4 linked regions of the Caenorhabditis elegans genome follow. The protein of the gene in region 2 interacts with the protein of the main gene of each other region in a pairwise test. Each region holds a gene or a part of one and is shown on either strand. Other genes may lie near its edges. The genes, in order: cnd-1, hlh-2, ngn-1 and hlh-8.

The links.
Region 1: the proteins of hlh-2 (region 2) and cnd-1 interact in a two-hybrid assay, tested with the Caenorhabditis elegans proteins (2 studies listed by BioGRID).
Region 3: the proteins of hlh-2 (region 2) and ngn-1 interact in a two-hybrid assay, tested with the Caenorhabditis elegans proteins (2 studies listed by BioGRID).
Region 4: the proteins of hlh-2 (region 2) and hlh-8 interact in a two-hybrid assay, tested with the Caenorhabditis elegans proteins (2 studies listed by BioGRID).

Annotation. Positions count from the first base shown.
Region 1 is NC_003281.10:5,239,403-5,247,944, reverse strand, and holds cnd-1 (Neurogenic differentiation factor 1), read left to right. Parts: upstream 1-3,305; 5' UTR 3,306-5,900; coding exon 5,901-6,094; intron 6,095-6,431; coding exon 6,432-6,558; intron 6,559-6,952; coding exon 6,953-7,210; 3' UTR 7,211-7,354; downstream 7,355-8,542. Other genes in the region: prx-10 (Tryptophan--tRNA ligase, mitochondrial), read right to left, coding at 8,018-8,110, 8,239-8,394, 8,440-8,542. UniProt on the Caenorhabditis elegans protein: Acts as a transcriptional regulator whose activity is required for several aspects of motor neuron fate specification, including cell division patterns, proper spatiotemporal expression of fate-specific markers, and normal axonal morphology and pathfinding.
Region 2 is NC_003279.8:7,187,876-7,195,845, forward strand, and holds hlh-2 (Helix-loop-helix protein hlh-2), read right to left. Parts: upstream 6,046-7,970; 5' UTR 6,033-6,045; coding exon 5,888-6,032; intron 5,538-5,887; coding exon 5,050-5,537; intron 4,211-5,049; coding exon 3,909-4,210; intron 3,797-3,908; coding exon 3,655-3,796; intron 3,488-3,654; coding exon 3,365-3,487; 3' UTR 2,913-3,364; downstream 1-2,912. Other genes in the region: M05B5.3 (uncharacterized protein), read left to right, coding at 1-38, 200-284; plag-15 (PhosphoLipase A2 Group), read left to right, coding at 664-778, 1,067-1,226, 1,278-1,495, 1,705-1,847, 1,896-2,044, 2,147-2,615. UniProt on the Caenorhabditis elegans protein: Transcription factor which binds the E box motif 5'-CA[TC][AG]TG-3'. Plays a key role in the anchor cell/ventral uterine precursor cell (AC/VU) decision; required for VU fate.
Region 3 is NC_003282.8:2,624,091-2,631,012, forward strand, and holds ngn-1 (Helix-loop-helix protein ngn-1), read right to left. Parts: upstream 4,182-6,922; 5' UTR 4,125-4,181; coding exon 4,038-4,124; intron 2,828-4,037; coding exon 2,589-2,827; intron 2,319-2,588; coding exon 2,090-2,318; 3' UTR 1,972-2,089; downstream 1-1,971. Other genes in the region: NRAMP-like transporter smf-3, read left to right, coding at 1-45, 520-679, 741-788, 1,162-1,275. UniProt on the Caenorhabditis elegans protein: Acts as a transcriptional regulator. Regulates expression of various genes, including homeobox protein unc-42 and helix-loop-helix protein hlh-34.
Region 4 is NC_003284.9:8,114,060-8,122,405, reverse strand, and holds hlh-8 (Twist-related protein), read right to left. Parts: upstream 5,950-8,346; 5' UTR 5,855-5,949; intron 5,769-5,854; coding exon 5,667-5,768; intron 4,642-5,666; exon of another isoform or gene 4,495-4,641; intron 3,648-4,494; coding exon 3,531-3,647; intron 3,484-3,530; coding exon 3,336-3,483; intron 2,621-3,335; coding exon 2,534-2,620; intron 2,383-2,533; coding exon 2,300-2,382; 3' UTR 2,066-2,299; downstream 1-2,065. Other genes in the region: C02B8.12 (Cpw-wpc domain-containing protein), read left to right, coding at 69-311, 357-419, 471-618, 701-789, 880-1,015, 1,586-1,765, 1,848-1,996. UniProt on the Caenorhabditis elegans protein: Acts as a transcriptional regulator. Involved in postembryonic mesodermal cell fate specification. Activates ceh-24 and egl-15 during mesodermal patterning.

The sequences.
Region 1 (8,542 bases), on a different chromosome or scaffold from region 2:
TGCATATCAAAACAGTTTTGGAAATCTTTTAAGATGCCAGTTATGCTTTTAGGAGTTTGGGTTTATTATCCAGTTTGGGAAGGCCGCGGTTTTAGCTTGAAATACGGTACCAGGCCTCGGAGTGGCCAAAAAGTTTCAGCCGAAAAGGGGCCTTCAAGATCTATCGTAGTTCCCCATGTCGCAATTTTCAGAGAATCGCAAAAAATTGCGAAAAAAAAGACAGAAAGTATGAAGCTACAGTACTCCTCAAAGGAAGCTTTAAGAGGAACTTTTCAGCTACCGTACCCAGAAATTTTTTTAATATTAAAAGGAACCCAGTTTTAAATTTATCAAAACCAACTCAAATACAAAGAGAAATTTGCAAGGTGGTACAGTAATTGAAAAGTGGACATATTTTGAAATATATAGCGTATACGCATATTCGAACAAAATCCATAATGGCATAATCATACGGTTGGCGAGAAGTATGTTTTTAAACATGTTTTTGCTTTAAAAATTTTTTCCCTCAACACTTCCCTAACAGAAAAATAAAAATATTATTGTAAATCCACTAATCCCATTCCATATTGTCGCCTCTTGATTAACAAAATACAAACACTCGAAAGACTGGGGATGGGGTGAAAGCTTCCCGCAGAGAGAAAGAGCACTAGGTGTCTTCTCCTTTTTCGGGAGAGCCGGCATATGTCTTTTGATGACAAACAAAATGAGTGCCAATCAGATTAGGAAGCGATAGAAATTGAATAGAAGAGGAGAAGTCAATCATCATTCCGTCTCCCTAATATCTACAGTAATACCATCTGTTAAGAGCTGCTTGTATTCCATGTACTCTTTTAGTGGTGCATGCACTGTTGCTCAAAACAAAAAGAGAAAGGAGATAGAACTTGGAAGAAATAATTGAGTTTATATCGAAATTTGATATTTTTTAACATAAAAATACCAAATAAATGTGCTCTTTCTTTCCCTACTGGTGTTTTGCATTTAACTAGAGGCTCCTCTTTTGATTGACCCTTTCCAATATGTCATTTTGCATTGAATTGGTAGATAAAGATGAGAAGTTGTAAACAAGTACTAATTGTAACAATAAGAATAATAACAATAGTTATTTACTACTTTCAAGTTTACTAACATGGGATCTCAAAACTTTTGTAGTACCACCAAAAAGTTACAATTATTCAGTTTTCAAATATTATAATTTCTTGAACTCTACCAAAAATATATTTACTTCTCCTCGGGTATTATATTTCAATGATGTTTCTATTGTTTGTATTTAAATTTAAATTCAAAAAGTTATTTCTGTGTATTTCGCAAAAAATTGAAGAAAACCCGGAATTTGGCAATTTACCAAATTTTAACTGAAATTGTAAATTTTGAAAGTCTGGAAAGTATTAGAATATTTCATACATACAATCATTTTGGCACTACCTAAACAGTTTTATAACAATTTAAAATCGTAGGTGACTCCATCAATTTTGTTCAAAAGCTTTTCCTTCGACAAGACCATACATAATTATGGCCGCCCTGTGCGACTTTGAAAAAGAAACAAAAATTTGCATATTTGATGCTTTGATTTTGTTCCGCGTCTGCATTCAAGGTGATTGATTTTTATGGAAACACAGAGCAGATGGTCACACTTTTTGAAAAAATATTCGATTGGTGTGAAATAAGTTTGATTTCCGTTATTGCAAGATGACGAGAATTGATAAACTACGAGATTTTGCGCTTTTTTCGTCTAAAAATACTTTACATTTTAAAGACAAAAGAGGTATGGACTTTTAAAGTATACTGTAAAAACATTTTTGAAAACTGAACGCAATGAGGAGTTGGGGAATACAGTACTCCATAAAGGCACACACTTCCATTAAAAATAAATCATGTCAAGACCGGAAATCGTATTTCGAGCATCTTACAATTTTAATTCGAGATGGTTTTCTTTTCAATTGCTATGTTTTCCCCAGAATTTTCTCTATTTTTTGGTTTGTTTTCTTTTTGTTTTTCCATTATCTCCTATTGGGTCGAACATAAATAAATCTTCATCTCGCTTGGTTCCATCCCTCCGTGTATTTCACCCATTTTCTCTCCACTATGCTTCAACTGTCAAATCGTTTTGATTTCCTTCCCGTCGTCACCCACCATTTTTCGTTGAGCACGGTGGTTGTGGTGGCGGCTCTTTTTTGGTCACAGCTCGAATGAGTGATGAGCATTAGCAAGGTTTCGGTATGAAGAAAAGGGGAAAATGGAAACAGACGGAACGTGATTAAGACTTAGGTTACGGTATTTAGAGAATAGGGTGATCAACCGGAAAATTATGAATGGTTTTTTTAGGTTAGGCCAGAGCAAAGAATAACAAACAAATAAAATAAACTAGAGAGAGCATAAACTTCCAAATAAAAATACAATTAAAGAAAGACCGTTAAACCTGCATAAGTTTCTCCATTTTATTAAACCAAGACTCTCATGAGAATTCAAAAAATAAACCATCTCCACTTGACACGTTGACAACTAGTCTCCATCTGCTTGTTAATTCCTTAAATCAGAACAAAAAAGAAACAATAAAGATTACATAACTTCCTGTTACCCATTCTCTTGTTACAATTTCCCTTCTCAAATGGGCTAATCCTCAACAAGTACTCTCACTCACTTGAGCTCATCTCATGCTCATTTAACGGTCAACAGCTATGACACGTGGCTCTAGTAATACTTGAAAGTTTTCGCGCATACTTGTAGTGATACACTGTATCCATCCGGTCTGTATTTATTCAGAAGTCATGAAGAGGGCGATGAACACCTGCTGGGAAGAGACAAATATAGGATATCTGTCAATAAAAAAGATATATGGTAACAGGTACATGTGTATTTAATGATTATTACATGCGCGATATATGTGAATGTTTGCGCATTTGGTTGCAATAATATTTGGTTTATTTGACATATTATCACAAAATTGGGAAAAGTTCAGGAGAGGAAACACTTCACAAAAAATTATTCGGAATACCCTTATTTGAAAGGTTTTGCTTGGACAATTCGTCAAAAATTAAACTATGGCAATGTGCAAAAAAAATAATTTGGAATTTTTCCAAAACTATTGGTAGATCTAGAAAAAATCCTCTTTAACGATATTCCTTCATTAATTAATTGAAAAGTTTTTAATAAGTTGAAAAATGTTGAAAATATTTTTTACTATATCTTTCTATATACCCAATTATTGTACCAAATCATCACCTAGGCACCAACCATATTGTTATTCATTAATAACCGCACCGCTTGCTCTCTTCCTCCCACCGATCGGTCTTGAAAGATTAATTACAGACTTGCATCATCATACAAATATACCGCCCGTACTCCTGAAAACGTTCAACATACGGTGCCAAATCCGTTTAGAAATGTGTGACAGTGACAAGGAATTGGTCTAATTAGGTGTGATGCAATGCGGTAACCAAACTGTCAAAGGATGGAATTCAACTAGGGGATTTATGAGTCAAGAGGTGTGAAATTTTGGTATTTGGTTTCTAGCAGAACAAAAGGTATATGAACTCAAATGAGGAAATGTGATAATCAAATTGTGAAATTATTGGTTTTAGAATATCCATGAAACTTAATTTTTCAGTGTCAAAAGAAATAATCTCGAGCCTTTTCAAATTGCTCGAAAAGTGGATTTTTGGACGCTTTCGATAATTTTCAGAGATTCTAGATTCCACGGGGAAAAATCTGCACAAGTACTTGCCTATCTTCCTTCCATTCCGGGCCACTATTTAAGTGTTCTTTCTGTGTTTTTTCCTAGTCTCTTCAAAAGATGAATGACCAACTGTTGGTGGCAGCTGGCTAGATAGCACATGAGTATAGGAGACTAAGACATTTGAAGGACTTGAATTAATTATTGCCAATTTAGGTTAGCTTGAGGATGGACTGAGGCCATTACCGGAAGAAGGGTGTTATTAGAAAAAAATAGAGGAAAGAAAAGAAAACAGTTATGATTTAAATGGAAAGTTAATTGGCATTAAGTGAGATTCTCATTAACTCATTATTTGCGCGAAAGTGGTACATTTCTCTTGAACTAAAACAAACAAACTGAAATGTATTCAGTAAATTTTTTCGCTGAAGTTTTTTCCAAAACTAGTCTTGGTTTTAGGATGTTTTTTTGTAAGATTAGGTTTTTATTATATTATTTTTTGATAAAATATGTTAACTTTATAACCAACCTTTTCATGTTTTAAAACAAAAAGTGACTAATAAAGTGCTCTAAAAGGCTTACTGAATGCTTACCAACTAATAACAGAATCTGCAGATTAGTGAAGTCTCAAAAACATGCAATGAAGAAAAAAACTTGTTTTTCAAAACCATCGTTTTTGTGAAAAGACCTTATCAACTTCCAATCAGTTCCCGCGTCAACAAATATCTGTGATCTATCTAGAACATTTCTCAGAACATCCCGTGCACTTATCTTGAAGAGTATGTCAGTTACAGAATTGTGTGACCCTTATAAAACCTTTCTTGGTAATTAGATGATATCTGCATTTACTGATGCACATCATTGCATAATTGGAGAAATATGACATAACAACTTTTACTGGATGTATACTACTCTATTTCGATAACGGTCGTATCGATAGATCCTATAGAACAAAAATTCAGACTATATGTTTTCACTCTTGGACCTTCACTCTCGGAATCGAAAAAACGATGATATTTGAATTTGAAAGAATAAGACAATCTATGATCTCAATTTTCAAATCAGAATTTGATTTTCAGAATTTTTTGTGGAATATTTCATATTGATGTATTGTTTATATTGACCCCTGGCAAAAGTCTCACAGTACAATGAGATCCCAGAAGAACACTTGGATTATGTTCAGGAAGGAAGAAAATATTACAGTTGACACCTCTGGTATGTAGGATTACAGAGATTTTCATTGTTTCATGAAACTTTGACACCTGCTCATTGACATTTGTGATTTGTAAAAGGTCAAATATTTTGAACTGACAAGTTTCTAGTAATGGGCACTCTACACCTTTGTTAGGCGGGAATTAATGGCAATTCCAGAAATTCACGGCAATTTTCAAATCTATTTATATTTCGAAATTTAAAATTACAAATTGCAATTGCGTGCATATCTGACATGCTCTCCGGATCTAACAGAAGATCAACGAATGAGATAGTGCTACTGTTTTAGGCAAATAACATGTTAATCGGTGACACGCATGTGTTTTGGTTGAGATAAAATCATACTGTAATTAATATGGAGTAGTTGAACTACCGTGGACGATTTCTAGCATGTTTCAAGATTTTTAAAATTACAAGCACGAGCGTTTTTGTTAACTGGATCGTTTTCAGAACAAATTTTTTATCTATTGGAAGGGATTTATTGAAATGTGGAACACCATTCCACACATGTTATAAAGCTTCGTATTTTAATATTTATAGTCAATAGTGTCGATCATGTTACAAGTTTGGCACATACATTCAAAAATATTAACTTTTTGGAATGCAGTTTTTTAGTTGGAACATAATTAAGAGTCCTTTGCCTTGTTGGTATACTTAGAACATTTTGATATTTTGTTTTCTAAAAAGTAGATAAAGTAGAGCTAAAAGTTTTTTTTAAAAGTATTTTTCTATGCAAGGTTCCTATTTTAAGCAAGTTTTCTAAAATCTGATTGTAAGACACATCAACATTAAACTTTTTCGAAAGTTTCATCTGTAAATTTATCTTTTTAGAACTTTTTAATGCTATCATTGGAAACCATTCCATCCTTCCCAACGAACATCCCGCCCCTTTTGTACACCACGGGCTCTCTGTTCACCCAGCTCCACCAGCCCCGCCCCTCCTTCTGTGAACCATCCACCAGATCAGTAGCTCATTCTCTTTCACTATACACTTCCCTGTCATCCAGTTATATTTTCTACAATGCGTCCTACTGATACTTCAAACTTTGCTCCAGCCGAAATTTCAAAGCGAAAAGTTCGACGAGTGAAAGCAAATGGAAGAGAAAGAGCAAGAATGCATGGTTTGAATAATGCATTGGATATGCTCAGAGAGTATATTCCAATTACTACTCAACATCAGAAACTTAGCAAAATTGAGACTTTGAGACTCGCAAGGTAAGATTTTTTGTTATTTGGCGCTTTCTTCTAATTTTTCTAAAGTGTTTCTAATTAACTGAAACTTCGCTTTAAAAGTTTAGATTTTTTAAATACATTTTTTCCAAAACGAGGTAATAACTTTTTTTTCAATTTTCATAATTAATTCCGTGATTTATATAATTTCCAAGCCGTCTTGAATAGAATAGAATATAGAAAGACTCTTCTTAATTACCAGCTCGCTGTCATTAAGTTTTATGATTCTCCCCCGTTCCAAATAAGAATTTTAACGATTTAACTATGAACATAGTCATCATTAAACCCATAAAATATTTCCAAATTAATTCAAATATTTCAGGAATTACATTGATGCTCTTCAAAGAATGTTGCAAACAAACGAACAACCAACTCCACTTGAATATGCTCACACACTTGCCAATGGATTGTCACAGACTACCACGAATATGTTGGCTAACTTGTTGCAGGTAAGGTTTTGAGAGCATTTCATTAAATAACTTGGTATTGTCTTATAACTGAAGTTAGAAGTCATAAGATAGTTTTTCGCTAGCGAAATTAACTAGTTGTTGAATTTTCGGAGTCCTCCAGAAGTTTCAAATACAGTTAATTTAAACATAGTCAAAATATTAAACTCATAGGAAATGTTTAGTACTGTAGTTTGCCTATCTTCTTGTTAGCTGATTTACAAAACAAGTGTCGAGACCGCGTGCTGTATTTTTAAATGAGAAATAATTTTTTCGAATAGATGAATCTAAAAGATTTGGGCTTTGTATAACCCATTTTTTCTTACACATTTACCATATTTTGTTAGAGTAAAAACAATTTACTACCCAAAATCTCCATATCCCCTCTCTTTTCCAGGTCCAACCTCGTCAACTCCTTCCACCATCACAATTCGACATCTTCTCTGATCCATCCCATCATCAACTTCATCCATCTCATCCACCACCACATTCATCCTTCTCATCATCATCACCATCATCTTCATGTTCTCCACCTCAATATTATTATTCTCCAACTCAACCATCAGCTGCTCCACTTCAAGGATCATGTGATCCACAATATCAACAAATGTATCATCAACATTCCCATCAGAATACTTTTAATTATTCACCATAAGTTTCGGTTTTTTTTCAAATATTTGTTGAGAGTCTCTTTCTTTGATTTCTGATTTGTTTGGTTACGGGTCTGTTATTTAATTTTATTTTTGTCACTACATTTATACATCCAGTTGAACTGAAAAATAAATTATTTTAAAGTATTGACCAGTAATTTTCCATTTTTGTTTCTCTTTCATTTTAAAATATGACTGCTAGAATGCTAGAAATATAAAGAAAAAATATAGAATGAACAGAAACAAAATGCTAGAAGTACGGTAGGTTACGGTACGATCGCGGCGAGATATCGAGTACGTGATCGGAATGTGTGTTGTCCGCAACGTTTTTTTTTATAGTCATGTAATAAAATATTTTTCTCAATTTTTTCACAACGTTTTTCCTTTTCCCGAGTCTTCAACGTTCACATGATCAAGATTTTCTGTCCAATTAAGATCGAAACAAAGAATGAAAAAAAGTTCCATAACTGAAGAGCCACTTAATGTTTACGGGGGGGAGTCCTCCTGGGAATCCGTGCTGCTCTGAGAGCATAATAATAATTATAATTATAATTTACACTCCTAAAACAAACACCAAAAATAGTGTGGGGAGAAGCAAAGAAGAAGATAATTGCGGGTGTAATTATATCATCACTATTGACAGATACAGCCAATGAATATTCGAAGATGTTTAAAATGCGTGGAAAACATTAATAATTTACTTAACCTAAATATGAATAGACGAAATGAAAAATCAACAATATCCTCTAAGTAAAAAGTAAAATCAACAACGAAAAATAACTGAACAATTCAAACATCCGTAAATTTAAATATCACAAGAATCCGATAGTTCGACGAATCTCTTCTAGATTTTTTTCTGCAATTTCTCGAGCCTTTTCACCATTTTCAGTTAGCACTTTGTCAACCTGAAAGGTGGATAAATTAAGAATGAAAAGCTCTGCAAAAATCAAAAATTTGACAACACAGATGGCCGCAATTTTAGTTTAACTGGGGAATGATTTGAAGAGAAGCCAAAAAACGAATAAAATTATACCTCTCCAGTATTTTGTAATTCTTCAAATTTTTGTCGAATTGGAGCTAGTCGTTTATCAACTGCTTCAGCCAAATTCATTTTCAAATCTAAAGTTGTCCAATTTGAGAAGTCGATCTCTGATGTTTGAGTTTTGGTGACTGCCGAATAGAGATCAAGCTGGAAATTGGAAAATTAGGTTCTGAAATTAATTAGAGGACATACCAAATTGGAAACAGCTAACCGGTTTTCCTTATCATATGTCACTTTTCCAGCATTGTCACTTTGTGCTTTTTGACATTTCTCGATAATTGTGGAACGGCTGTCT
Region 2 (7,970 bases):
AATCCGGATCCTGGAAACTCTGGATCTTCTTTTGCTCTGTGAGTTTTCAAGCCTATATCTAGATTCAAATAACTTAAAGACTTCTCTTCAAATATTAATTGAAATTAAGAGTGTCGATATTCCGAATTTTCATTTTTCATTGTTCAACAATACAATTGATTGGAATTATTCAAAACTCGAGCAACCATTCCTTTTTCAGGTATCGCGAAAAGCAAAAGAAGATGGCCACTGATTCTGCAAAAGTTTACAATGGACCTACAAAAAAGGAAAAGGATCCAAAATGAGCATACATCCAGTCGAGAACATTTTTACATTTACTTTTTTTAAAATTTATTTTTGTTTCAATTCGTCTTTAAATGATCTGCGTCTCTCGTTTTTCTCATTATCGTAAATATTTTATTGTTGTATAATAAATCGCAGTTCTCTACTTGTATGTCAGTAATATCCCAGATTCACCTTCTCACCTTCACCCTTGTCTACTCTGAAGATATGACCATGTGATGAACATTTGCGACTTTGATTTATTGATGTGTCTCTATAGAGAACAAGGTGTTGAGAAGAGACGCAAAGAAAACGACTGAAAAAGAAGAAAAAGGGTTGGAGGGAGAAGATTGAGCTCATAGTGGAGCCTCCATCATCATACCCGACTGGTCAGTTCAACAGATGCGGGATATCCTGGTTTCTTTGTGTATTTTCTTGGTTTTAATTGGAAAAAGTGACACGAAATGGTTTGGAAAGTTTGGCAGATCACAAGCGAAAGGACTTCCGGTGATTCTCGGTGAGCTTTTGTTTTATTTGATTTCTTAACTTTAAATCTTTCAAGTCGTTCGGTCGGTCTACTGTAATTATATTTCTTTATTTTAAATTTTAAATTTTATATTTTTGAATTACATCCACAATTGTTCAAGTTCTCAGTTCTGATGTTTTATTTGATCAGAATTGAAAAGATATCTAGTACTTTCTAATACGAGTTCTAAAAAGTTTCATACATTCCAAATTAGTTTTAGTCCGTTTTTAGCAAATTGGAATTTAAAAAATCGCAATAAATATATTGTATAGTTTTCAGTGCCTGGTGATGGAGGCAGCCAGCTGGAATCAAATCTAACGGGTAAACCATCAGTTGTGCATTATGTTTGCTCCAAGCAGACAGCCGATTATTTTGATCTTTGGCTTAATCTACAACTTTTCACACCTTTGGTTATTGATTGTTGGGCTGATAACATGCAGTAAGTTTCATTATTTCCAGAGCAAAGAAAATCAATTTAATAACATTTCAGATTAGTGTTCAACACAACCACAGGATTGTCTGAAAACATGCCAGGAGTTGACATTAGAGTTGCTGGATTTGGAGCAACTGAAAGTGTTGAATGGTTGGATAAGAGTAAAGCATCACAGGGAAGATACTTCTTTGATATCGTTGATTCGATGGTTTCATGGGGTTATCGAAGAGGAAAAAATGTCATTGGAGCACCTTTTGATTGGAGAAAATCCCCAAGTGAGTTGAGCCTTCAGAATTAAGAGAATACATAGGTTCATTTGTTTCTCATAGAAATTGACATTTTCTGGTTTATACCCGCGCTAAAAGTCCGCGTACCGTTTGCGCCAACTTTCCAATTGCGAACTTGCTCACAAAGATCAGCAAAACCGTTTTTTTGCACTCCGAATTACCAAACCAACTTTGTATTTAATTCTAAACAATTTCAGATGAATTAAACGATTATCTCATTCAACTGAAGTCCTTAATTGAAACCACATATCGCTGGAATGACAATCAAAAGATCGTACTCGTCGGTCACAGTATGGGTAATCCCCTTTCTTTGTATTTCTTGAATAATTATGTGGATCAGGTGAGATAATTGAAAGGTGTTAGATGAAATAACACTTATTGTTTCCAGGCTTGGAAAGACAAATACATATCGAGTTTTGTTAGTTTGGCGGCTCCATGGGCTGGATCAATGCAAATTGTTCGATTATTTGCATCTGGATATAATATGAATTATTATAGAGTTATTCTACCACCGAGTAGCTTGAGAGCAATGCAAAGGTAAGCACTTTGAGGTGTTTGGAAACTTAAAAGTGAAATATTTACTCTTATGGTGCTAAGACTACCAAATTATGTTTTTCTTCAACTTATTTGGTTCTTCAGATCATTCTCCTCTTCGGCCTTTCTGTTTCCAAGTCCAGTTGCATGGAAACCACATGAAATATTAGCGACAACTGCTGACAAAAACTACACTGTTGGAAATATTAAAGAATTCTTTCAAGACATTAATTACATGGTTGGATGGGAACAATACAAACAGGCCGCCCGTCTGAATGGAAATTTAAGTTCTCCAGGAGTTCCAGTTCATTGTATTTATGGAACAGGAGTCCCCACACCGGAAAAGTTTTCATGGGCTCCCGGATACTTTCCAGATTATCCACCAACTGAATTCATGGGTGATGGAGACGGGACAGTGAACAAAAAATCAGCTACAGTGTGCACTAATTGGATTGGAAATAATAATGGTTATAAGGTTACTGTACACGAAGTATTTCAAGCTGATCACATGGCAATTCTTAAACATCCAAATGCAATTGAACTTGTCCGAAAAGCCATTTTCCAGTTAATTTGAGTGATGCAAAAAGGGTTCTGAATTTTAAAATTTTGTTTGTTTTGATCAAGGTGAATGAATTATGTTTGTATCACATTTTTTCCCGTTGTTGACATTTTATACATCCAATATTCCTATACATCAGTTTTGACAGACCATGAAAAAAACATCTCGTTTCAACGACTTAGAAAGTCAAACTAAATGTCTAATTATAAATGGGAATCCCTTTCAACATAAAGTGGAATCCATACTGCGAAGGACATTAGCACTTCATCGGAGCTTGGATAATTAAAGTGTTGAAACAGTTACCCAATAGAGTAATTCATGTGTGAAATTAGTTGGCGGTGTCTTTTTTTTTGAGTGGACCATTTCATTTCAAGTAGATACTAATTAGCTATGGTTTATCACATACACACACACAAAAAATAAGACAAGTTGGAAGAAGTTGATTGAATGAATGAATAATATGAAAGTTAATTTTAATACTTGAAATATTAGAATTAGCTATTGATTGATTTAAATTTAGAGGAGAAAATAAATTAAAAACATACAGAAAATTGTGATGATCTTGTAATAAAGTTTAAAATTTTTAAAACTGAAAACTGATTGAAGTTGAGAAATCACAGGACCTCCAATCCGGAGGGAGATGAAGGGGAACATTTGAATAGTTTGAACAAAAAAACAATATGCTAGAGAGTTTTAGCCGTATGGATGATTGGGAGAAGATTGGGAATGATAGTTTGAAATGCTTAAAAAGTCAATTTTTAAATTTAAAACCGTGGATGTCCAAACTGCGCGGATGGTGCATTGTCATCAAGCATCTTCATTTTATCATCATCAGGTTTCCTTTTCATTCCAGCCATCACTTTTGGATTCATATTTCGTTGACGAACCTGTAAAATTATAAATTTCAACTTGTTCAGTGTTTTGTTTAAATTTTTCGAATAAATTCCATCGCAATGTTATGTGCTTCAAAGTCAAAAATACAGCAGTCGAACAATTGCCAATTAATTTTGTTCACAATTTGAATGTTTCTTTAAAATATGAAAAATTATCTAACCTGTTCTTCCAATTGTGTAATCACAGATACTGCATTGTGTAGAATTCCCAATTTTGTTTGATTCCGTTCTGTATTCTGATTGTGCTGTGTGCACATTCGTCCGAGCTCTTTGAATGCCGAATTGATGTCACGAACTCGTACTCTGTAAGTTTTTTGTATTAGATTAGATTTGGAGATATCTCGATTAAATTACTATGTAATTGTCAATTTCCAATGTTCAATTCAAAACGTCTTAAAAGTAAAAAACTCCTCACCTTTCTCGAGCATTATTCTGTGATCTCCTATCCGTATCTTTGTCATCACTCATTGATTCATTATCAGAAAGCCTTGAAGACGATGAATGGCGAGTTGGAATTCCAGAAGATGGAGGGCCTTGTACCCGACGACGGCTCGTTGCTCTTGATGCAGACTTATCATTTCGAACAGATGATGCACTTGATCCTGGTGGCATTCCGGTCATTCCTGGATATCCATTTGGATCAAAGTGTGGGCTCATACCGGCTGGTGGGAATTGATGATTGTAGTCAACCAAGTTGGTATCTCCACCAAGACCATTCTGCAATATTTCATTGTTTTTGGTTTTATAATTTCTATAACCCTCATCTAAAACTACTCAACTTTTTCTCTCAATGAAACAAAACAAAGAATTAATTTCATTTGCCTTGCTAGTCAGTTAATTCTCTCAAATGGTACTATTGGGGGCCGAGTCAAATCAATCGATCTCTTTAATGTACTGAACCCCGCAATGTGACCGTCTCTGTTCACCACTTAATCATGCGGCGACGTCGGTCAATAGCCCCCTTCGGTTTTCGAGGACACCATCAGAAAATGTGACCGGCTATTGGGTAACAATGCAAAAAGCAAGAGCTTCAAATTTTGGCCAATTTAGTTATTCACTAGTCAGAGGTTGGATACAGGGATTTTACCATATTATTCTAGATTTCTCAAGACTGGAACGCAAAAAAATGTCATCAGGGTCTCAAAACTTTGTTCACGACAACAGTAGTTCAGAATCTTAATGTTTAGTATTGTCATATGGCAAAAATTATTTTAAAGAAAACTGAAAGAATCTCAAAAATTTCCTCCAACAAAAAAAGCGATAAACTTTGCCTAATTATGTAACTAATCCATCTTTTCTGTATGTTTCTCCTTGTTTTATGTTTACATTAGTGACTTTTTTGGAGGTCGTTTAGTGCGCACAGGGTGTTCTTCTCAAGAAGATGCCGCCTTTTGCATGCATCTCAATCTTCAGAAGGCGGCGGCTCACATCAAAAGGAAGCGGATTATGCATACGTGAATGCTTGGCGGCTGAGGAGGGCCAAGCAATCATTCGTCGAGATTAACTTGTGGTAAAACAGTAAAACACGAATAAAACCAAGAAGAATAGAAACGTACCGGCTGTCCAGCAAGTTGCTGCTGATACGATGAGAAGTCGGCAACTGATGGATCAGCACCAAATGTATATGTTGGAGGGATTGAGATGTATGGATTAACAGCTTCACTTGCTTTGTTATCTTCTGAAGGTGGAAGGTAACCTGGATATGTTTGTGGCCATGTATACATTGATGACATTGCGTCAATTGGTGCGGTAAGATTAGTAAGAGGCTGTGGAGCAACAATCGCTGATGTTTCTGCAGAATTCGTGGCTGGAGCTGTTGTTGGCTTTAACTCAAGCACATCAGTAGTTGAAGTTGGAGCTGGAGCAGTAGATGGAGCCGTCGTTGAAGTGGATGATGTTGCATGAATTGGCTTAATATCAGATGTTGCAGAAGTTGGAGCAGCTACGGAAGCAGGGGTTTCAGTTGGTGGATGTGTTGGAAGGAAGGCTGATGAATAATCAATATCCGTTGTTTGCATCGGAGGATACGGGTTGAGATGGTATCCTGAAAATGTTTATTTAGATGACTTGCACTTGAGAAATGAGATATAAACATTTTGGTTAATAAACTACTTACTAGAGCAAACCAGATTTTTACAAAATTTTAGAACATTAAAAGAGTTATACATTTTGTTTCAACTTAAAGTAAATTTTAAAAATTTGCGAGCTTATAAAATCAACAATTCAACAATTCGAGATAAGTAATACCAAACTTATATCCTTTTTCTGCAATTTATCCAATATTTCTAACTGATTACAAGCGACTTTTAACAAATTCACGAAAACATGTTTGGTTTGGTTTACCAAATGATATAATTGAAATTATAATAGATTTCAAATGAAAAAAAGACTAACCACTCCAATAATCAGGCATCTGAATCGTTGTCGGATCAATATTATAAGGATAATCATATGCATTTGGAAGCATAACCTGTGGTTGAGCAATGGCGGCAGTTGCAACAGTTGTGGCTGACGTAAGTTGGCTATTTGGATCCGCCATTGAGGTTCTGAAAACTTTATTTCTGCGAAATGATATGAAAGACGATTATAGTAGTAATGTCAAAGAAATAAAGTCAGCGGAGAAGCGGGGAGAGGAAAGGGAATAAGTAGGGAATTGGGCTGGAGCAGCAGGTGAAAAAATTAGGTTAGTAAATATATTCTGATTAGATTTTCGTCAAGACAACCCCATTTGAAGAAATATTGAGAATAAGAAAAAGAAGAAAATAATCGATTCTCCTCGTTTGGTTAAATAGGCAAACGAGATCAAAAGAGGCAAGGTAGATCAATAAAGAATAATAATTGTGACGTCACAATAGATCTACTAAGTTCCGGTATAAATTATTAGGAGCAAGTTACTTGAAGGAGAACAATTTGTAGGGAGGTAATGATGTTGAGATGGTATCAAGAAATAGTTGTAAATGTAGATGTCATTGTAGATGATTATCGGATGGATGACATCCCGAAAGAGCAATAAAATAACAGTAAAGGGGTGATGGATCAAAGGGTTTCAGGCCCATCTAAATAATTAGTTTAAATTCAGACGTAGGATAAGATATATATGAAAGCTTTAAACGTGAGCTAGTAACATTTCGGATGCAAATATACATTTTTTGATAAACTCAATAATTGAAAAAAAAACTGCCCTACAATACATTTGCGTTCTTGTTTAAATTCAAAATTGGTAAGGATTCGTAAACATTGTAGGAGTGAGAAAAAGTAATGCAGATCAAAATTATTTGGTAAAAGATCCAAAATTGAAAATTGGGAGGAGAGAAATTTTAATTTTCAAAATCAGAAGATGGGATACATTATGTATTTCATTCAAAATATGTGCTATGTTTTATTACAGTAAGATCATGAACTTGAAAAGCTAGTAAACGGAACAGATTTAGACACAAAAAAAGACGAAAAGAGTGCACTCCCCCCTTCTTAGCGGCTATGCGGGTGGCTAGGAATGGTTCTTCGAGGGTGGTGGTAGTGGAGGGACGCGTATAAAAGCCCATTCAAGGGACATAAACAGTATATTGGTGTACATAGACGCAGACATTCTTTCTCCCGGGGACCGTCTACATCCAAGAGACGCAGAGACGATGATCGGGAGAGGTCACGCCCACAACCATCTCTCTCTACCTCCTGCAGCACACAATCCTCTATTATCCCGGGGTCCTCCATCTCTTCTCCCACCATTCATTCACCAGTCTTTTTTGGGTGAAATGAGAGGAAAATGGGGGAAGGATTGAATGAATAAGGGGATTGAATGAATAGAAGAGGTCAGCTCTCTTGGGGGAAAATGTCGCCACCCGACTGTAGGGAGTACATTCATTTTTGAAGCATGTTATTAGAGTTTTGTAGGGATCTCTGAAATTTTAATTCTTCAGAATATGGTAAGAGTGAGAGAAAGAGTGTGCACAGGAAAGGGGTATATTTTATTAGAATAAAGTTACTCATATTCACAACAGAAGTTTCAGCAATCACAATACTGTGGGACTACTCGAGTCTTCAAATATCTTGAGCCATATCCTAAAATTGTCTCTCTGTGGTAATAAACCAACAATTATAAAAAGAAATGATACTTCCAATGCCCGTCTCTAAAGTGCATTTTTTGACAGATGTTGTCAAAAGTATACGGTACTGGAACTTTTTTCTCGAGAGTATTTGGGGAGGTGTCTATTGTGGGACGGAGTGCAGCTGTCATCAAATTCAAGTGCTCAATGGTTTGGTTAGAAAAAGTTAGAAATACGGTAATAATGACGAATTTGTTCTACAAATATGATTAACTAAATGGTGATACTTATTTGAGAATGTTGAAAAAGGGATGCAAGTAAAGATAGGTCTCAATCAGATTTCAATCATTTTAGAAGATTTATCTGATCATTGACAGATCAAATAGGGTATTTTATCTAGATAAGGCACAGGAAACCGAAACTCAACAAGTTGC
Region 3 (6,922 bases), on a different chromosome or scaffold from region 2:
ATTTGTATCGGATAGAAATATTATGCACGAGTATAAGCTAGCAAGGTGAGAGATTTGAAGAGATTGAAATATTGAAATATATAGAAGATTCAAAGTTTAAAAAAATTGCTGTCGATGATTATAAAAAAATTTAGAAAAAAAAAATAATTCAAATTTTTTTTTTCAATTTGTTCAAACTTGAATATCTCCGCTACCGTAATAGCTACTAAAAAAATGTCAACTTCCATTATGTAGAAAATTTTATTTTCTACAAATTGTTAGTTAACAACTTTTTGATAACTATCATGGTTCCCGAGATATATCAACACAAATGCCTGTTGGTATTTTCCTATTTGTGCAGCCCTTAACTTTAAACGGTAATATTTCCTGAACCACACTAGCTATAAAAAATTTGTAAACTAACAATATATAGGAAATTTCCGGCTCTACAAGTTTATAGTTAACAACTTTTTTATAACTAATACGGTTCCCTAGATAATATACTTTTAAAGTTTCTAGCCATAATTTTCAAATTTTCAGTGTCTCCAAAGTGGTCTCCATTGTGATTTCCTTGATAATTTTATTCATCAACTTTTATTTCTTATACTCTTGGATTGGATCAACATTTGGTTATAATGCAGTTTCTATTCCAATCACTATTTTTTGCGCGATTTTCTACATTATTTTCATCGCATATTTGGTAAGTGACAACTTCATTAAATTAATTATTTAAATACAAAAACCAATTAAAAAATTTTCAGACGTATTATTGCCTTGTCGCAATGGAATTCATCTCACCCATTCAAACAGTAAGTTACCGGGCGAAAAATCGATATTTAAAATGGGCTCTAACGAGTTTCAAACGATGCTCCACAATTACGCAGGCGCGTGTTGTTTAGCGCAGAATTTCAAATTGTTCCTTGGCATTTAGTGTTTCTTTTTGGGTAATTTTCACGTGTATTCAGCTCGACCAACGCCTCGAAAATTTTTAAAAATGGCGGGAAAAAATATTTGAATTCCCCAAGAGGAATTTCACCGCAGCGCGTGCAAAAATGTCTGCATTTGCGCGTGGCGGTGTTTGCACAAATTACACCGAATGGTCGAGCTGAAAACACGTGATTTTTTCATGGTAAAAATACAATAGATCGCTAAACAATCGATTCCCAAAAAATAATTTTTCAGAAATGGCTCGCGGAGCCCATCTACCACGATTTCGATGCTCCTTGGCTGGAGGACTCGGAAAATCCATCGACGAAAAATACAATTTCCGACGACGAACTGTCTATGCGATATTGATTTATGTAATAATTTTTTATAATAATATATGTATTTTTGAAACAAAAAAATTTTCGAAAATTTTCAAAATGTTAATACCTAATTTATAATCAATTTATATGATCTCCTATGCAAAAAATCAATAAATATCTCCGATTTTCATACTGTGTTTTAAAATTTTTCAAAATTTCGATTTCACAAATTAAAAGCCAAGTTCAAAGTTGGTGGCCTAGGAAGCCAAATTTGCAGATTTCTAGGCCATGTACGAAACGTGCCAAAATACAAAAATATTGATCTTAAGGAAAGTTAGGCAGGTTTGAAGTTGGTGCCTATGACGACTTCTATTTGATGGCCTAACTTCCCACCACCCCCCCCCCCCCCAATTTTCTAGGCCACCAATTTCAAATGCCTATAACTCGTTTCAAAAATCGTATTTCAAGAATTCAAGCATATGTTCTTTAACGGCAAAGTTTGTTCTATCAATTTCTAAAAATTGATCCCCGTGGCCTAGAAATCTGAAAATTTGGATTTCTAGGTCACCAACTTCAAATGCCTATAACTCGCTTCAAAATCTATATTTTCGAAGATTGAAAAAGCATTCTTGCTCAGCAATATTAGTTTTTTCAGCTGTTGAAGAAAGGTGGCTTAGAAATCCGAACATTTGAATTTCTAGGTCACCAAATTAAGTGGCTTAAAAATGTTTCAAAACGAAAAAAAAAAAAATTTTATTCTTTACAAAAAAAAATTGAAATATGCCAAGTGAGAGCAAATTTGACTAGACGATACCCAAAAATGTGAAATTTCTGAAAAAAAAAACTTTGAACAAAAAATTGTGTCAATGATGTGGGAAGCTTGGGCTCTGATGATGATGATGGTAGTACATTTGCGACGGTGGATTACTGTAGGATGAGGGGTACTGTAGTGGTTGTGGGAAGCATGGTGATTGGAATGGTGTGGACTGAAGAGATTGGCTCGCGGAGCACAGGCCACAGGAACCCGTCTCGCAGCACTGAGAGGAGTCTGGGGAGCCGCCGGATAGTTGGAAGCTTAGACTGGCGATGTATCTGGAATTTTTGGGATTTTTAGATTTTTAGAATGTTTTTTTAAAGAAAAAATCTTAACTTTCTGAACCCAGAAAATTTAGACAAAATTATTAAATTCGAGCCGTTTTTTGAACTCTCAAATAAAAAGTTGAGAAAGTGGCTCAGTCGGGTAGAGGTTCGCTTTTGGGGAAAATAGTGCCGGGTACGAATCCACGCTACGGAAAATAATTTTTCTGATCCTGATGAGCTTGGAAATATAGTTAAAATATTCGAATTTTTAATAAAACTAACTCTTGGGCTTTCCTCAAAGTCTCGATTTTCGTCATTTTTGGCTCATCTGGAAGAGCTGGAAGTATGCCACGTAGATGCTCCAACGCATCATTCAAACTATTCATTCTCCGACGTTCTCGAGCATTAGCCTTATCTCTTCTGACGGTTTTTGCTCGTTCGATTGTCGCTGGGCTCCGCTTTCGGCATCTATATCTCCGTTTTTCTCGTTTTACAGGCTTTTGTGTAGAATTCTTGGAGTTCTGAAATTAAATTTGTAAAGAGAAAATGAGAATTGATTTTGAGCTCAAAAACAGAATTAAAGGGACCTTTCTGAGACCTTGTTTAGACTCAAAATTAGCTAAAACGACCGAATTTTGTAATGAAGCGTTTTGAAAATTTCTCAAAAAAAAGTTATGCCAGTTCGAAATTCTGGCAAAAAAGGTGCCAAAATTTTGATTTTAGCTGAAAACGTGCCATTTTTTCCAGAACTTTGAGAAATTTTCAAAACGTCTCATTACAAAATTCGGTAGTTTTGGGTAATTTTGAGTCTAAGAAAAAGTCTTAGATTTTGGTACTCCTCCTTTAAATGGCTTGAACAGTAACAAAGTTATAGAGAATGAATTTTTTTTAAACATTTTTTTCTGAAAAAAAACAGTTTACTGAAATTTCTGCAAGAGCTATTTAAAGATTGTTAATTAGCAAAATGTAGAAAAATGTTTTGTTTAATATGTTTTAGTTAGCAATTTTTCAGCAGTTTTTGTTTCCGCCGAAATATAGCTACTCAAAGTTTTCGGGTGTGCTGAGACAACTTTAAACGGGCATATCTTATTAGCCATAATAGTTATTAAAAAGTTGTTAACTAACAACTTGTAGAAAATTGTTTGATTAGTATTTTGACAGTTGACAAGTTTTGCATAACTATTACCGCCGTTTAGATACAGCTATGTATTCAATTTTTAATTTTGGTGTTTTCTAAAAATCATTCTACAACTTTAAAGGCTTATATCTCATTAACCGGGAAATTTATTAAAAAACTGTCAACTGACAAATTGAAGATTTTGAAGTTTTCTACCACTTTTTAGTTTTAAATTTACACGAGGAAAGTTACAGCTGTACAATACCATGAGTATTTTGAAGGCTTATATCTCGGGAACCATACATCCTATCAAAAATTGTTAACTAATAAAATGAAACAAATTAAATTTGCAACATTACGTTAGTTTACAAATGTTTTGTAGCATCCACCTCCACGGAGTTACGATAGTTTAAAACTTGAAGTTTTCAAGATTCATTAGGAAATTCGGCGTTTTCAGACAATTGTAAGGCTAATGAAGCAATGAAAAAACTCGACAACACCACCTTTAAAAATCTGGCACCTTCAGAAAATTGCGGAAATTTTCAAAAAATAATCGAAAAAAAAATTATTTGGTTTTAAATTTCTCTAAACATTTTTCCAAAACCAAAACTAACCTGATCCATATCATTTTCTCGTTCCATATCTAAATCTTGCTCGCCAGTTTGCAAATGATGCGGGTAGAATGGTGAATGATGGTACATTGTGCAAAACAAAAACACGTGGGTGGGGGCACCACTGTGGAAAATGACTGACTAATGACAGATGGGACATAAAGGGGGCGGGGTGTAAGGAGATGGGCGGGGTAGAAAGAGAGAGAGAGAAGGGAAACAAACCGGAACACCAGTCTGGAGATATGGTGGGGTGCGATTTTTCAGAGTAGGAGAGCTCGCCGAAAAAGAGGAATAGAGGTGCAAACCGGAAGACTGTACATTCTGAAAGGTGAGAAACTGGTGGGGTGGGAGTGGAGATAACGACACTTATACGGAAATACAGAAAGACAGGTAGCTTGTATAGGGGAGAGCGTTTAATAACAAATATTTTGTTAGTTGGCAGCTTTTTGATAGCGAAAAAGATAACCGAGATACAAGCCAGGGGTGTGCGGCAAATCTCAAAATTTGCCGAGCTCGGCAAATTCGGCAAATTTGCCGTGCTTAACAAACTCGGAAAAATTTGATATTTTTTATGTTTTCTGGAGCACCAAAACTACTGAATTCTTAACAAACGGCAAATTCAGCAAATTCGGCAAATTTGCCGAGCTCGGCAAACGGCAAATTCAGCAAATTCGGCAAATTTGCCGCACACCCCTGATACAAGCTATCAAAGTTAAGTGAAACGAAATTTTTCGATGTACCATGTCTTTGGCAGCGTATATCTTGGCTTAAGAAAAAATTTTAATTTTTTTAATCGCTGAAAATAATGCAACATTTATAATACTTTGTATTTTGTTAGTTGATATAACCAGGGAAAATCGAGATATAAGCTAACTAATTCAATTAAACTATTTTTGAATTCAAATATATTCAAATGTGCACATGGTGCATGTAGGAAGTTTAATAGAGATAATAGGTATTTTATTGGTTTTTTTTATATGATTGTTTTGCAATTTTTTTAATGAGATCAACGACACCTACATCGACGAGGAAAACCTTTTAACCCAATTTTTTGTTTTACATCGTGGCTTATTTCGAAGATATCAGTTAATGTTGTTTTTTGTAGTAAATGACAGAATACAGACCCAATATACCAAATATAATTGTTAAGAATTAATTTATTTAATTTTCGATTACGAATTTCTGGGATTTTCAAAATTCCGACAAGTACAAAAATGCACTCATGAGCTTATATTTCTGTTGTGTTTGGTGTTATCCAATATTTATCAATACGTTTCCTATATTTTAAACATTTGACATCTTTAATATCTTCAAAATAATTGAGTCCAAAAACATGGTGCATCGAAAAACTTGTTTAACTTTTGACAGCTTATATCTTGCTTATATTTGAAATTAAGGGGGGGGGGGGGGGTGGGTAGAGTTTGTGGGTATTTTGCTTAAATAGACTAAAACTGGTTCAAAACCACCGAATTTCATAACGAGACTTCACAAAAAATTTCCAAAATTTTTTTATGGCCGGTCAAAATTTGGAAAAAAAACGAGCCAAATTTTGCTAAAATCTGAAATTTTGGATTTTGGATTTTTTTTCTGAAATTATCATCTTTTTAATCCTTATTTTGGTAATTTATCTCGCGGAAATTCGTTGATTGAGACAACTTTTAGGCCGATAGGCATCCAATTTTGATCAAAATTGGAGGTCTAAAAAGTGTAAGGTGTTAGTGGAGATCCCAACTGACGGAAACGGTATACAGTGTTGAGGGACCCATTAGGTGTAAGTGTATATCAGAATATACTATAATTTCACTGCTCTATAATCTTGTAGCTCATAATTTTTTTGTCGATGCACCATGTCTGTTATTGCTTAAATCTCGGATATTTTTGGTTTTTACGGTTTTACCAAAGACTTTTTCAACCAGCAAACTATTTGTGTACTGATTTTCCACTCGTTTTATTTATCAATTTTTCAAAAATAAAACAAAGACAACCAAGATATCCACCTTTGCTAAACTTTGTTAGCGCCTATCTCCACTGTGTTTGGATTTATCAAAAATTTGTCAACAAACAAAATATGCACCACTTCTTTTTCTATAATTTTGTAGTTGAACACTTCCTGATATCACCTTAATGAATCGAGATATAGGGTCTTGAAGACATGGTGCATCGATAAACTACCTAAACTTTGATAGCGCTTATCTCCGCTGTGTTTGGTTTTATCAAAAACTTGTCAACTAACAAATTATGTACCATTTCTCTTTCTGTAATTTTGTATAAGTTTTTCCAAATTTCGAAAAAATAGTCATACCACATATAATGTGCAAATTGATACCTATTGACCCAATAATAGAGTAGCCAAAGGTTACGGAATAATCCCCCCTCCCTGCCTACTGTGTATTAGGATTATGGTGTTTAATGAGATTAGCTTGTATATTTATATACAAACATTGACACCTGTGATTAACAAGAAGGTTTCCTGATTCTCTCTCTCGAAAAGTCGTCAAAACCGTAATAGGCTAATCATCACCCCAGTGGAAACTGAGGGAGAGAGAGAGAGAGTGTGTGAAAATGTGAGAGACGCAGAAGACACATGCTATGAATTTCAATTAATTGCTCGTGAAATTTGACGTTTTAACAAGAGAAAGCTTGGGGTTCGCATCAAAATCATGAAGCGAGGAGAGGGTTAGATTGGGGGGAACATGCTAATTTTACCCAAAATTGTGATGATTGCTTTAGGATTTTTAACAATTGTAAAAAAAATTTTGTTCAAGCATGGTGCATATCAACCCAAAATTTGACAGCGCATAAATCTCTCTCGATTATATTTGGTTTTATCAGAAAGTTTTAAACTACTAAAACTAATTATAGAACAATGCGCATGAGCGCCTGGCGCC
Region 4 (8,346 bases), on a different chromosome or scaffold from region 2:
TTAGTTTTGTCTCAAGTTTGAAAGGACATAAACTTTCACAAGATTTTTTTTTACATGTTGTATTTCAGTGTTGTAATCGGAGAATGACTAAATCTTCCAGTCAGCCGTGTCTCTCATATGACAGTTCAATGATGGCGGAGTCACTAGATGAGGCAATGTTCACATTTCCAAATTTGGCAAGTACGGATCAAGCTACACTTTTCCAGCCACCTAATGGATTTGGAGCAGCCGGTGGTGGTTCTGTGAGAAGTGAAGACGGTCAAAAGCCAGATTATGAAAGTGTTGATGGCGATGTTCCAATGGCGTCAATGGTTTTAAATTTACAAAAATTCAATTTTTTTAAATTCAGTTTTTAGGCCGGCCCGTCCGTGATGACAACAAAAGTATCGATTGCCGCGTTTGGAGCAGGGACTCCGCTGGTCAGTTTCTCAGCATAAATTTTTAAGAGTCGTTTGCAAATTTGTATTCAGGACCAGTCTGTCAATGGAGAGTGCCCTACATATGCATGTATGAGTTGTAAAATGTCACTTCTCAATGGCTTTCTGGCAAATCCAAATATAGGGGCCGCTGACAACGCAACACTGACAGCTCAAAGAAATGCTTTGGCTATAAAACTTGGTGAGTTGGTTATTGGCTATTTTCCACAACTGCTCAATCAACTTTACCAACTTCAATCAAAAAATATCGAAAGTTTTAATAGGTAGTACAACAGGATCTTGTGATCAACATTCAAGAAAAAAGAGGTTCAGTGAGGAGTACTCGACAGTTAACAAGTATAAGATAAAAAAGGTGCGCTTGTTAGATAATTTTAATAAAAACATGGTAGCCCATTTAATTCCAACTTCACTACAAGTTTTTTTAGATTAAAAATGTTTTTAGCGACTTACTAAACGATTTGTGTTAATGAATACAACACCTGACACCGATTCTTTAAATAATGATATTGATGATAACACAATTGATCAAGATACTTCAACTGATTCATTCACATCAACTGATCCAAAAAACCGGCCAGGTAAGCTGAAATTGTACTTTTTTAAAACAACTTCTTTGCTTAATAAATCTTATTGTATAAATTATTCATTTTTTAACTTTTACTAAAAGTTTTTTCAATATTACAACTTTTGAATCAAAACTCTTCATGACGGAGTAAAAAATGTTTTAAAGGCAAAGTAGCGCGAGTGGGTAAATTGTTTCAAACTACTCCTATAGGACCAAAATAGTTAAATATCATAGTAAAAATTTTCAAACATGCTTGAAAATTTTTTATTGACAGTAAAAAAGTGAAAATTGTACAGTTTTTGCCACTCATAAATTTGGAAGCCGACCAAAAAAAGTTTTCCCACGATTATCATACTTTAATTCTGTTTCAATTATTTGTGTTAAGACATTCTAATTGTCGAAGCATTCTAAATTGCTCTGGATTTCTTTTTAAGATTTTTTTTTCAAAAATTTGGCACTTCGTCTTAACTTTAACTGGAAATTTAAAAAATTTAAATTTAGATTTAGATCTATGACCATCCTAATAAAAATGCAAATCTTTCCGATACAATATCAGTAATTTAGTGATAACTCTGTTTTTCAGTGCTTGGAGTAGTCACTAGTCTTGGATGTCAGTACCGCCGTGGTGAAGCTCTTCAAACGAATTCCGAATGGTGTGGGTTGTGCAATTTGTGTTGGCAGTGGAGAAAGCTTCCCGCCGACTATTACCCCAACTATTTGAATGAGGTCAATTGCGACCACAACGACGATGGATGCCTTTCAGGTATTTGACATTTGGGCTCCGATGGGCTCGTTTTTTTTCATAGACGCCCATCCATCACGCCGCTGACCCACACTTTTTTTAGGATTCGGAGAATGCAAGCCAATAATGAGGACGATCAATGTGATGAGACAGAATGGCGATGACTGGGTAAAAGAGTCAATTGATACCACTACTGGGTGTGAATGTCAAGTTGAAATTGGTTCATCATTGCATGGCTTAGTGGTCAAATGATAATTATGATTCAAAATTTTTTTTTACGTGTTTGTATTATAGTTTGATCATATTCACACATAGTTTCTGTTTGCGGGATAAACTTGTTTCATTTAACAATGGGCTTACTAATAGTCTCTTGCAAAATTCTCAAGCAAATTTTTAAGTTTTGAGCAAACGAAAATTGAAATCGAGTAGATATTATTAGACAGATTTGATACATCAAAAATGAGAATAAGGCACTATATCATGAGGACTATGTTGATTGAGAAGCATACATTATCAAATAAATTAGGAGCTGGCCAGTTTTTTCCATATTCGAAATTATTGCCAGTGAATTGGAGTGAGTTGATTTGGATTTGAATTGGGATTTGGAGTTGAGATGGGACACAGTTCATGAAATTCTTCTGAAAAAAAAACAAGGTGACGCGAATTCTCTTCAAAAATTGTACTTTTGTACTTTGACAAAAAGGATTTGCAGGATTACTGATGTTGTGCTAGTCAGACTAAACTGTTTTATGACCCACTATAAAAATTTGTATCAGTACAAAAACTTACGTTTTGGCGGCGGACAAGTCTGATACCAAGGCTGGGGCATCAGACAGTGTGGAGGAATGCTGGATGGAGCAGGAGGGGGAATATGTGCTGAAAAAAGTGAACTTTGTTTTTAAGACACGAATTTTATTCTCATAAGAATTTCAATCATAACAGTTTCAATTCACTCTGAAGCTGAGAATTTTCATTGTTATAAGTGCACAAAGGAAGCCCAGTACACTGTATTTCCTATTACTCCTGCATGTAAGACTAATTGTCGGTAGATTCGTAGAGATGCAAGACTAATAGAGGCTGCAAAACTAAGCAAAGAATTTTAAATTTTGATGATAATTTTTACATAGGTTATATGAAAACAAGTACGACGTTTATAAGTTCGATAAATGTTTAAGAAAGTGGTTAACTTTTCATTTATCCCTGATACAGTTTCCTATAAGATAACATAAAAGCTTTAGAATTTTAACAGCTAGAAAATACTAGTGCTGTTATTAGCCCCATTAGCTAACTAAAATTACAACTGAAAATTTTGAAACGAATTGTTTCTACATCAGTTATTACCCCATTATTTTGATGTAGTCAATTTTAGGTTCGTGTAAATTGATGATCAAATAATTCGGGAAAAATGATAGCTCTAATCATAACCTGACATTTTTCGAAAATATTATAATCCATTAAACTCAAAAAACGTTTCGTACTTCTATTTTCATAGTTTTGCCTAATTTTGAAAGCGGAAAATGCTAAGTTTATGAACATGTTCCAGCCTACGGAACAAATAAAAAATTGAAAATGAATTAACATCTTTGCTCACCAGATTGTAGTGGAGGCAACTGTGAAGGTCCAGCAATTGGTGTGTATCCATTGTTACCCCTCCACATATTGAAAGCCGACTGTAAATTGTATCCACGTTTTTCGTCGAAGATCGAATGGCCATACAGTTTGCATCCATTTTTTTGCATCTGAAATTGTTTTATTCAATTATCCCACAGTATCTCCAACTCAAAACCTCGTCAAGGAAGGATATGTAATCGGTTGCAATGCGTAGTGTGTGGATCTTGCTCATCTTGTCTGAGGGCATCGACGGGATCAGTTTACGCAAAAGTGTGAAAGCGTCATTGAGTTCCTGTAAACAAATCATAATACGAGTGATCTAAATGTTTTTTTTCGCGCATAAACAGTAGATAATGTTTATAAAGCATAAACATATCAAGATAGAGAAGAACTCATTAGGTCATTAGGATAGTTGTTATCACAGTTTTCGGCAATTTCCGGCAATTGCTAAAATTGACCAACTTGCCGAAATTGCCAATTGCCAGGTTTTTTTTGGTAGTTTTCAAACATAATTATATTTAGAAAACACTACCGCGTTTTTGTATTCATTTAGGTTTTTTTTGAAAAAGGGCTTAACGCCACGAGGTTTTGAAGTTTACGGCAATTGGTAGTTGTCGTGCACTTTTAGTGATATTCGGAATGCATTGCAATTTGCAATAGTTTCAAGACTCCATTTGGCGTTTCAAAGACGGTGTGGAATTACTAATTAACTTAATATTTTGGTAATTGTTTTTAAAAACTGCTAACAACTTAGACTTTATTTAAAAAATCGCCATCATCAATATCTTTTAAATTCGGCAAAAATATTGCTCAACCATCACTCATTTTCCCCATCAAAAACGTTTTGTTTAGCTAGCGCCTTGGCTCAGAAATGTCGTCCGTGGAAAGAAGAAAAATAAGTTTTCTGCCTTCAGCCTCTCTGATTCCTGTGATATTTTGAAATTGTCTCCAGATGTTCTCAGGATTCAGAAGGGACCTTTTCTTTTTATTGCCCCCCACCCTCTTCTCCCATCTCGCGTCTTGCATCTTCCTCTACCGTACTCCGAAAAGCAACTCAAAATTCTTACGGAAGGAGTTGAGGAAGTGGTTTAATGTTAGCCGTAAACGAAGGCGACGTTAGGAGTTTTGGAACGCAGCGAGCTAGCGAGCATGCCAGATGATGAGCCATAAACATTGCGCGGGAGAACAATAAAGTGTGTCGTCGAGCCTGGCGGTCAGGGTGATATGTGAAACTAGTTATTGAGGTGTCGGAAAAGTGTGAGATATGGCTTGGGAACGGAAGCTGTAAATGATATGCGATATGCGAAAGAGTCGTGTTCAATTTGGTTGCCGAGTTATGGTTTTAAAATTGGTTCCCCGGTAACATTTTTTTGTAACTAATTTTTTAAATACTAGATCGTAGGGGGAAGTAGAAGTAAAGAACTGGAATATTTATATAAATTTTGAAAAGAAGCAATGGCTCTACAGTTCCAATTACAGAATAATACCTTTTAAAAAAGTTCAGAAACGGTTTTGACGCAAAAAAACATGTTTGAATATTAAAAAAAGCACATTTTTGTCATTTTTTGATGTCGAAAAGACCGAAAATCATGTTTATTTAGTCATACCTTTTCTTTGCGAAATTTAGTATTTTATTCCACGTTTATTTCCTCGATACGGGTGAACATACTTATAATCAACAGATTTTTTTCAAATTTTGCGGATTGATCTACTGAAACTGTACCTTAATCAATGGAAAAAAACGTGAAAAAATTACCAAAGCGTGCAATGAAGGGGTATGGATTACAACGATACTGAACAGTAACAGATAATCTTAATGACCCGGTTTTTTTGGAGTGTTCGCTCACTAATTTATAGGATTTCGTGTGAAGGGGATATTTCATTGCTTACATGGCTAGCACTAATTTTATAATTCACTCAAACTTGATAACTTCAGTTGAAAATTCGACATTTTATTGCTAAGAAGAGAAAAATTTGCTCAAATATACTAATTACATAACAAAGATCAAAAGTTGTTCTCAACGCAAAACTGTCATTGAAAAATTGTGTGAAAGTCGTACGCAGAATAGATGCAACAAACAATGACCTGACTGACCTGACATGGTTTTTTTCATTTATAAAATGATAGTATCAATTCTAGGTTACTATGTTTGACTACGTTAAAAAAAACTATATATTTAATTTCTGTTTTTTTTTTCGAGCTGCTGATCTAGGTTGAAGCCTCTAAAATAACATTTTGAGAGAAAGGCGGTCATTTTCAAAATATATTAAACAACCCGAAACTCTCAAAAACAATTGAATGAACATTTACCTTGGTCCTTTGACGTTCCCGTCTGTTGGCACATGCTCTCTGCTGCACATTTTCCACTTCATTCTTTCGAACCACGCGTTCTCCTTTTCTACGAGCCACCATCTGTGAAAATCATATTTGAAATCGGTCAGTTCAAGTAATAAACATATGAAAAGTAACACATTAAAAAATCAACAAAAAAAACATACCTGGAACGTTAATGAGTGGAAGAAATGAGATCCAAACATATGCGTAACAGAGGATGGGCGGGGCTCCGCTACGAAGAATCTCTGCAGCGGTCCGCTTCTTCTTCTTTCTCTCGTGACTGCTCGGTGAAAAGAAAGGGGACGGGTGAGAACTCTATGCGGACAGTTATTCATGACTTCTTCTTTGTTTCGATAGTTGAAAAATTACCGCGGAAAAAAGAATTTGAGAGTGAAGGTAGAAGCAAAGCAACCTACACTAACACATAAAATGGTACAAATGTAGTATACATTCGAAAACCATTGAAACTGCTCCAAAATTTAGGAAAGTTGTCGAGTCTCTAACCATAGTTCAGCATGATTTCAGTGTTTTGAAACTGTTGAAAATTTAAGAAGAAATCTTGCAGCCCAATTTTAAAGTTGTACTTACTGAATTGAAACTTCACATCTTTCAAAAGTCCCATTCTATACCATCATGATACAAAATCAAGATTATGCAAATTGGTTTGAATATTTTATTAACGGTTATTCAAATTATCATTTTCGAAGTTCCAGTGACCTTATTCCTGAAATACTAAATTGTTTCAAAGTGTATTGTTTTCAATAAGTTTCATTATGAAATTGGGTGTTTGCAGACAATTTTGAGTCTAATAAAGCAATAAAAAAAATTCGACTACACCACTATTAAAATACTAAGGAAATGCGGTAATTAAGTAGTTTTGGTAATTATGTATTACATGTTTTGAGGCATAACTTGACTTTTACCGTAGAATTATTATGGAATTATAAGAATCGAGATGAGCGTCCTCGTTTAGTTAAATTTTGTAAATTCTTTTCAACTTACCAAACTAACTAAAAAATTTCGAATAACAGACAAAACATACTTCAAACTGTATGTAAAATAAACCCAATTATGACTAAACTCTATGCAAGCTCATTCCACGGATCACAAAAATATGTCAACCAACGAAACCTTGAGCAAATACATGATGTGCCGCAATACAGATTCCTTCATAAAAACCAAAATTATTGTAGTATAAAGTTAAACTTTTTTTAAAGATTTTTCTTTTATTGAAATTATGTCTGGTATTCGAAAAAAAAATTTCTTACGTTACTTGGCATTCTGTGTTTTCAATCTATAATAGTTGTCAATTAGGAAAATCGTTAGGACATACCATTAAAAAAACACACATAAAATAAATTTGTTTAAATCTGAAGTATGACATAAAAATGGAATTTGTGATTTCAAGCTTAAATAAAATCAGTAATTTTTGTTTTAATTTTTTTTCACATCGATATTTGGAATCAAGGGAAAATTTGGAATCAATAAAAAATATTTCCCAGGTTTCGGTAATATTTCCCATGTTTCCCATTTTCCTCGTTAGACTTAGGAATGGTGTTTTTCTAAGTAAGCCTGAAAATATGAAAGCATTTCACACGTTTTTTTTTAAGTTAAAAAATTTATTTTTAAATTGGCGGGGGTACCCATATTTTTTATCAAAATATGTCTTGATTCATAAATAAAACTTGTCCATTTTGTAACTCCAATTTACCGTAATCTTTTGTTAATCAGTAATAAACAGTTATTAATTTTAAAATCCAAAAACTCTTTTGATTTATCCAAAATGAGTAACATTGTCCATATTAAAAATCCGATAATCGTAAATGGTTTTGAATTCTTGATAAGAATTTTCTCAGTTTTGCAAGTAGGCCTTAAAACTAATCAATTATAAAAACAACAAATTGCCTACTTACTGCATTACTCAAAAAAAAAAGTCAAATAAATGTGCTTGGCGTTTTGTGTAGTTTTTTATTAGCAACAAAATTAAATCTAAACAAAAAATGTTGATGATGAAAAATGCTTAAGAAAGAAAAACTATAACGTTATTCTTCTTGTCGCATAATTAATGAATAATCAGTGGGCCCGGTTGAATTCTGATAAACAATCAGATTTACATTTAAAAAAGTCAGAGTGTCATATCAAATTTACTGCTGAATCGACATTCCGACATTTCAAATATACCCTATTGAAAAAAAAACGAAGATCGGTTGAAAGGGAAATCAGCAAGAAACAATTAAAACGGGATCAGGGTGGAGGGAGTCTGAAAGAGATTTTGTGGAAAAGGGGACGACCATGTAATACTGTGAATTCACGGCAATGGTACAAATACTGGGTGAAATGGATTGCGGTATCGATGAGTCAACGGTTGGGAAAAAACTACACGAACTGGCATCAAATCTAGAGAGCGATAAATAGGAAATGCACGTTTAAAGAACAAATTTCACACATATGAAAAGGATTTCTCAGTAAAAATTGTGTCTATTAACAATGACAGAAACCCAATTAGCCTGGAACAATTAAATCGATGCATACTGAGTTTAATGTGTGAAATGACATGGTTGAAAATGGGTGGGAGAGGAAATTAACAAACAAAAACAAGAAAATGGTAAATCTTTGGGAGCAAAGGCGAGTAAGTAAGATGCTATGTTTGGGATTT